Caenorhabditis elegans: one gene and its partner. The protein of the gene in region 1 interacts with the protein of each later gene in a pairwise test. Each region holds a gene or a part of one and is shown in the gene's direction. Other genes may lie near its edges. The genes, in order: mdh-1 and pqn-54.

Region 1 (3,795 bases):
TTATGTTAAAGAAAGAACTAAAACAAAATATTAAATTGAAAATAAAACTTGCAAAAACTTACAGTTCAAGAGGTTCCAAATTGCTCAAAATAATTTGAATAGTTTCGGAAGGTAATAGAATAAGACAATATCTCTTGGACTGAAAAATTATGTTCATACAGTATATGTGCGCATATTAACATATGTGTTTTTGTGAAATCTAATTTTTTAAATTCAACCCTTTTCTTGGTGAACTTTTCGAAACCTTTTACACACTCGTAATTTCGCGAAATTTTAACATGTCAGTTTAAAGACACATGCTGTTTTTTCTTAGGCATGATGGTCACATTTCTCAGGCATGATGGTCACATTTATTAAATGAAAAAAATACAGGAAAAAAATTGCGCGAGAGAAAGAACCGCCCATTTTTCCGGAGACTGCTTTACAGATTTTTTTGACATTTGGATTTGCTCTACCCGCAAATTTCTGAATTCTATCTTCGTTTCTAGTGTTTCGGTGATCATCAAGCCCACTTTGACATTTCTATTCATTTTACACTTTTTCCAGTGGTTTATGACGGTTTTTTCTATTGTTTTTTGCCTTTCCAAAAAAATTTTTTTCACTGCTACGACTTTAAAGGGGGACACATTTATTACGCGGAATGGTCTCGACACGCGCGGCAAATTATTAAAAATTTTTGGTGTGTGCGCCTTTAAGATTACTATATTAATTTTTCTGTCAAATCTTCATCGATTTTTCTCGTTTTCTCCCTTTTCTTCGGTTTTGACTGTTTCTTTTCTCAATTTTCTGCATTTTATGTATTAAATTTATGTTCAGGTGATCATTCATAACTGAACACTCATCAATGATCCACGCGTCATGTGCGAAATCGTTCTTTGAACTTTAACCGCGGTTAAAGTTTCCTCCGTTTTATAACCGCTACTTTGTCGCCGCTTATTTACAAATGACCTTTCTTCTCATTGCGCTTATAAAAGTTCTCTAAAACCTCGAGATTTGACGTGAAAGTTTTCATTCTACACTTCTCCGAGTAGATCTTTTTGTGCAGATTTTCACTTTTTTTTGCTCTTCTCTCTGATGACCTCGTGTCTTGGAGGGCGTATTCTCTTCGGCAGTTTACGTGACAAACAACAACTTTTCTGCCATTCTCACTCTCTCTTTTCACTTGTCTAGTTTACAGCGGTCGGCCTTGGTCATCGGGAATCTCCCAGTGATAATCATTTATTTGTTGCTTTGTCTGCTCTTTTGGTTTTGCGAGGACTCACTAATAATTCTGAAAATATTTAATGTTTCTATTTATTTTCAATTCTCTAAAATTCTCGATTTGAATTAGCGCCAACGAATTTTCCCATTAGAGCGCATTTTCTGCCTACTCAACATGGAGTTTTACGATTTTGTTTTCTGCATTTTTTCTCCTATCTTCGCGAAATTTTCTAATTTTACTCGGTGATTTTACAAATTCTTATCTATTTCGTGGATCAAATCAATACACGCTCTCGTTTCTCAAGTTCTGTTCAAAGTGCCATCGATTTGAAACGTTCGGCGCCGTAGGGTTTGTTGACAAGTTGAGAGTGCTTCGTTGGACAGCGAAACGAGAGAAAACCACGGGCGGCGCCAATAGTCTCTTCTGTTCACGTCATCTCTCGTTGCCTCGCTTCCTTAGCTGGACTATTATTTTTTTCTATTTGTTTGGTTCGTCTTCAATACATAGAAGTGTGTACCACAAAAATCTTTTACATCTTATCACTTCCAACTGTTATTTTATGATTCGACAACAATCTCTTTATCTGGTCAATCGTTTTTGTTGTTCTTTCTCTTTCATTTTCATTTTTGCTCCTCTAAAACGTGCGTTTCGGCAGTTTTTTCTCCGGACATTTTTTATTGAATTCTCGAATTGTCTGAATATTCTATTTGCTTCGATTCACACATTTCTTAGTGTAAATTGCTAAATTTTCAGAATGTCCGCCCCACTTCGCGTTTTGGTCACCGGAGCCGCTGGTCAGATCGGTTACTCGATCGTCATCCGCATCGCCGACGGAACTGTATTCGGAAAGGAACAACCAGTGGAGCTCGTTCTTCTCGACGTCCCACAATGCTCCAACATTCTCGAAGGAGTTGTTTTTGAGCTCCAGGATTGTGCTCTTCCAACCCTTTTCAGCGTTGTTGCTGTCACTGATGAAAAGTCGGCCTTCACCGGTATCGACTACGCTTTCTTGGTCGGAGCCATGCCAAGACGCGAGGGAATGGAGCGCAAAGATCTTCTTGCTGCCAACGTCAAGATCTTCAAGTCACAAGGAAAGGCTCTTGCTGAGTATGCCAAGCCAACCACCAAGGTGAGATCAGAATTCACAGTTAAACTTTCAATATTTCCATTACTTTCAGGTTATCGTTGTTGGAAACCCAGCCAACACCAATGCATTCATTGCTGCCAAGTACGCCGCCGGAAAGATCCCAGCCAAGAACTTCTCTGCCATGACCAGATTGGACCATAACCGTGCTCTTGCTCAACTCGCCCTTAAAACCGGAACAACCATCGGAAATGTCAAGAACGTTATCATCTGGGGAAATCACTCTGGAACTCAATTCCCAGATGTCACCCACGCTACCGTTAACAAGAACGGAACTGAGACCGACGCTTACGCCGCTGTCGGAGACAACGCTTTCCTTCAAGGACCATTCATCGCCACTGTCCAAAAGCGTGGAGGAGTCATCATTGAGAAGAGAAAGCTCTCGTCTGCAATGTCTGCCGCTAAGGCCGCTTGTGATCACATCCACGACTGGCATTTCGGAACCAAGGCTGTAAGTTTAATTATTTTAAAACTTGAATGAAGATTTTATTTTCCAGGGGCAATTCGTCTCCATGGCTGTCCCATCCGATGGTTCATACGGAATCCCACAAGGACTCATTTTCTCATTCCCAGTTACCATCGAGGGTGGCGAATGGAAGATTGTTCAAGGTCTTAGCTTCGACGATTTTGCCAAGGGAAAGATCGCTGCTACCACCAAGGAACTCGAGGAGGAGAGAGATGATGCTCTAAAGGCTTGCGATGATGCCAACATCTAAATTTTCCCCATAAATTATAACGATTTCCCAACCGCTCCCTTAAACTTAAAATGTAAAAAAAGAAGTAGGCCGTCTTGTCGTTTTTGTAAATGTATTATGTATTCAGTTATTGAACAATGAATTTATTGCATCTTCGGATCGAATTGTTTCAATCTATCTTTCGAAATAACTTGTGACTCGTTTCTGATTTCGTATATCTGTTTATTTCTGGAAGCTAGCAATCAATCTGCCAACGTGGAGGATATGGGTTTGCAAGAATAAAGAAGAAGACAAATCATCTGTACAGAAAGCAGGTTCTAGGCGAGAGAATCGCGAGAAGTAGCGAAATGAGGGTACGAGGAAGAGGCGGTGTGTTGACCATTCATTCCAGCAATCCTTATTCCTTCCGTGTTGGATAACGACCTGTCCCCAGGCGTTTCTATGGCTTTTTCCTCCCATTTTGATCGTTGAAACAGAGATGTTTGCTTTTTTAGAATTAAATTTATGCAACTTTTTAGACTGTGCACTTAAATAGAAGATCTAGAAATAATTAAACGAATTTTAAATGCATAGTCGCAGTAGTAATAGTAAATTGACTAAAGAAAATCATTTTTTAATTTTTAAACAATTTTTAATGAAAGTTTATCTCTGAATCTTTTGAATATCCCTTGTGTAAATTTGTACTTGACCAATTGTTCCAAATTTGTAAATATCAGTTTTTGCAGAAGCAACTACTTTTCGTTGAAAAAATTCAC
Region 2 (3,827 bases), 5.1 Mb from region 1:
GGAAGCCCTACACTTGAGCCATATCCTACAGCTAATCCATCAAATCCCATCACTGTCATGAATAGAAGACTCATTCCAAATGCAGCTGGGAATGAGATCTGGCACCAGTACGTGTAAACCACAGATTCTTTGAGCCTTGAATTGGCGAATGGGTCTAGCGCTTCATCTTTCTTGTCTTTCTTCACTTGAAGCAGAGGATTGGAGATGTAGATTGCTCTAAGGAAAATGGTTTTTGAAGCCATTGAAACAAGAGAGGCTATACCAAATATTCCAACTGTTTCACGAAGACCAACCCAGGTCACCAGAGCCTTAACTTAGTTTGTTTTTACTTTGGAATTAAAAAGCGAACACAGAACTAACACCAGTTACTAACGGTGCAATAACATTGGTACATTGATCCAATGTCAACAGAGTTGCGTTCATATTCGACAGTGTACCATCATTTCCGAGTACCATAACCCAATCTCTGCCTGTGATGAACTTTTCCGCGTTCAGGAAAAGCCGGTTCACCGCGCATATGCACATTGCTAGAACCAGGCAGACTATGTACCACGGTGACGTGGCATCGATAGACAGACAAGCTTAAAATATTTTAGCTTCGAGTACCTACATCAGTGTCAAATTAGAACTCACTGATAATAAGAGCAGCTGCAGCACAAATACTCAAATTGTTCAACGGTACGACGGTCATGATTGCTGAAATTGAAAACTTGATTTTCTCTTACAAATACTCACGAAATAAGTATTTGATTGTAGTTTTTGTTAGGTCAATGTGATACTTGAACAAATCATTTTTGCAGTAATCGAAATTTGTAAAAATGAATCGTTCACGTGGAGTCAGAACGTCCCATTTTGCTGTGATCTTCGAAAAATGCGAGAGAAGAGACGCAGAGATCTCATCTGATTTTGCATGGTTAAGAGCGTGCTGACGTCACAATTTTTCTGGTAAAATATTCCCATTTGTCGTAGATCGAACCGCAATGAGGCAGGCTGACACCACGGGATCGTTTAGTTGTCTACCGTACCCCGTTTCCTCGAGAGCCCGTCGAAATGCTTTCCTAAATATCCGCTGAGAAACATTTGCAAGACTCCCTCGAAAAGCTGCTCAATGGAAACCACTCTCATACCACCCATCAGGTCCATACAAAGAGAGACACAGAATGACCAAGCCCTGTCTTCCTGTAAATAGTATCGAAAAATTGAATGTTCATGTTTTTCCACATTGAACTAAAAAACAATTTTGAAGTTTATAAAAGTATGCGAATTTCTTTTTTTTTCTTCCTAGTTTTAAATTCCCTCTACACTCACCAAGCATGTCGAAATATAGGCACAATACAAAAATATGCTCGTTTTCGAAAGGGTGCCACTGTTTCGTCGATTATTCGGTTGTTGAAAAGTCATTGTCACAGGAATCAAACTGGAAATCTCTGCACTTCCATCGCCCGCGACACACTTACTGATTTCCATGTTAGCGATAACCTCTATATATTCTGTGATAACGGGCAGGAAGTTCAACAAAGTGTTGGTGCACATACATCATGAATTTTTTCTCTTGTCAATCAAAGATTATTTGAATAGGCCACTCGAGTGCACTGCTCACCGTCTCTTTTTTTTTCATCTTTGCTCGTCTTACCGAACACTTTTTCACGCGATAAATTGTTTGCCGCGCGGCATGAGAAGGCGGAAGATGGTTGGGATAGTTTCAAGCGAGATGGTATATAAGCCCACAATCAAATGGAAATACTCATCCGATACTTTCGGCTCTAATCATGCGCTTCACCTCCCTCGCCATTGCCTTCTTCGCCTGCGCCCTAGTGGTGTCTGTAAGTTGTGCAAGATCTAAAAATTTGAGTCTACGAATATTAATTTTCAGGGCAATGTGCTTCGTGAGAAGAGACAATGCGGATGTGCTCAACCCCAGCAGAGCCAATGCTCGTGCCAACAGGTTCAACAGACTCAATCGTGCTCGTGCCAATCTGCTCCAGTTCAGCAACAATCCCCATCATGCTCTTGCGCTCAACCACAACAAACCCAGAATGTTCAGGTTACTAGCAAACTTATGCTATAGCTCCAAAGAGAGACTTTCAGGTCCAAACCACTCAATGTGCTCCAGCTTGCCAACAGAGCTGCACCCAACAATGCCAGGCTGCACCATCGGTAGCCCAGTGCCAGCCACAATGCCAACAGCAGTGCCAATCCCAGTGCGCTCCAATGTACAATCCACCAGCCACCACCACACCAGCTCCAGTCGTCCAATGCCAGCCAATGTGCCAACAGCAGTGCCAATCCACCTGTGTTCAGCAACAACAACCAGCTTCCCAATGCCAGCCACAATGCCAGCAACAGTGCAACGTTGCCTGCGATGCTCCAGCCACATCCACTCAGGCACCACAAGTAGTCCACATCCAACTCGAGATCCAACAGGCTCAAGCTCAATGCCAACCACAGTGCCAGCAACAGTGTCAATCATCCTGCACCCAACAACAACAGCCAGCTAACCAGTGCAATTCGGCTTGTAACAGCCAGTGCTCCAACATTTGCCAACAAACTGCTCAAGCCACTCAACAGGTCTACAACCAGAACTCTAACACCAACACCCAAATGTACAATCCATACAACAACAACAACCAAGGTTCCGGATCCGCCAACTGCGCCCCAGCCTGCCAGCCAGCCTGTGACAACTCCTGCACTTCTCAGACTCCAGCTCCAATGTACAACCCATACGATGCCAGCACATCCGCCCCAGCATCTTCCCAAGCTGTGATCCAAATCGTTCTCCAATCCTCCGTCGCCCAGTCCTCCCAGTGTACTCCACAATGCGAGCAGTCGTGCCAGCAGCAATGCGTTCAGCAACAACAACCAGCCGCTCAGTGCCAGTCTGCCTGCCAGGACTCGTGCTCCAGCTCCTGCCAAGCCGCTCAGCCAGCGACTACGGCTTGCCAGCAGAGCCCACAAAGCCCACAAAACTCGTGCTCCTGCCAAGCTAACTACTCTCCATGCGGAAATGGACAGTGCTGTAGAAGAAAGTGAACGGACTCTGAACAATGACTTCAAGTTTTTGTATATAATGAAACCAATTAGTTTCACAAGAACTTAATAAACAACTTTGATATTTTAATTGATTTACATTATTTGGTTTTTTATTGTCTAGAAAATGAACAATGACTACAAAACTTATAGCTGGCTCACAGTTTATTGACTAGATTAGCACTAAAAAATAACATGGCCGCTTTTCAAGGAAAGGTTTTTATTTTATTTTATTTTTTAATGTCAGACTTCAAAACGAGACAAGTGCCATTTAAAAGTGTTCCATAAGGATATATTACTACAAAATTTTAAGCGGCAAAGCTCCACTCTCAACCCCTCTAGCATCGATCTGAAACTGTTACAGTGCACTTCTTCACTACTTTGGAGGCCTGTAGAATTGCTCCAAATTTTTTTTGTTGCAAACTTTCAATGTTTTTCAAAACGGTTAAAAGTAGGTAAGCATTCTGGAAAATTTTTGAAAATTTTTAAATTTTTTCAAAAAATCTGAAAAATTTTTGAACCGAGTGGAGTGGATTGAGGAAATTTTTAGATTTTTTTTTCAAAAATTTTTTAAAATTTTTAAAAATTTCCCAGAATGTAAACTTATTTCTAGCCGTTCTAAAAAACATTGAAAATTTGCACAAAAAAAATCAGGACCAATTCTACTGGCCTGAAACAATTTAAGATCGAAATTTTTGGGGTTGAGAGTAGAGCTTTGCCGCTTAAAATTTTGCAGTGACATAGCCTCATGAAACACTTTCAAATGACACATGATGGTTGCATATTACGAAAAAATGTTT

Evidence for each region.
Region 2: the proteins of mdh-1 (region 1) and pqn-54 interact in a two-hybrid assay, tested with the Caenorhabditis elegans proteins (one large-scale study listed by BioGRID).

What each region holds. Positions count from the first base shown.
Region 1 is NC_003283.11:6,514,686-6,518,480, reverse strand, and holds mdh-1 (Malate dehydrogenase, cytoplasmic), read left to right. Parts: upstream 1-1,954; 5' UTR 1,955-1,955; coding exon 1,956-2,330; intron 2,331-2,379; coding exon 2,380-2,796; intron 2,797-2,842; coding exon 2,843-3,061; 3' UTR 3,062-3,198; downstream 3,199-3,795. Other genes in the region: F46E10.3 (F-box domain-containing protein), read right to left, coding at 63-157. UniProt on the Caenorhabditis elegans protein: Catalyzes the reversible conversion of (S)-malate to oxaloacetate in the cytoplasm where oxaloacetate is used for gluconeogenesis.
Region 2 is NC_003283.11:1,463,245-1,467,071, forward strand, and holds pqn-54 (Prion-like-(Q/N-rich)-domain-bearing protein), read left to right. Parts: upstream 1-1,745; 5' UTR 1,746-1,769; coding exon 1,770-1,823; intron 1,824-1,873; coding exon 1,874-2,044; intron 2,045-2,088; coding exon 2,089-3,030; 3' UTR 3,031-3,116; downstream 3,117-3,827. Other genes in the region: fpn-1.2 (Solute carrier family 40 member), read right to left, coding at 1-308, 361-581, 634-696, 1,026-1,179, 1,309-1,401.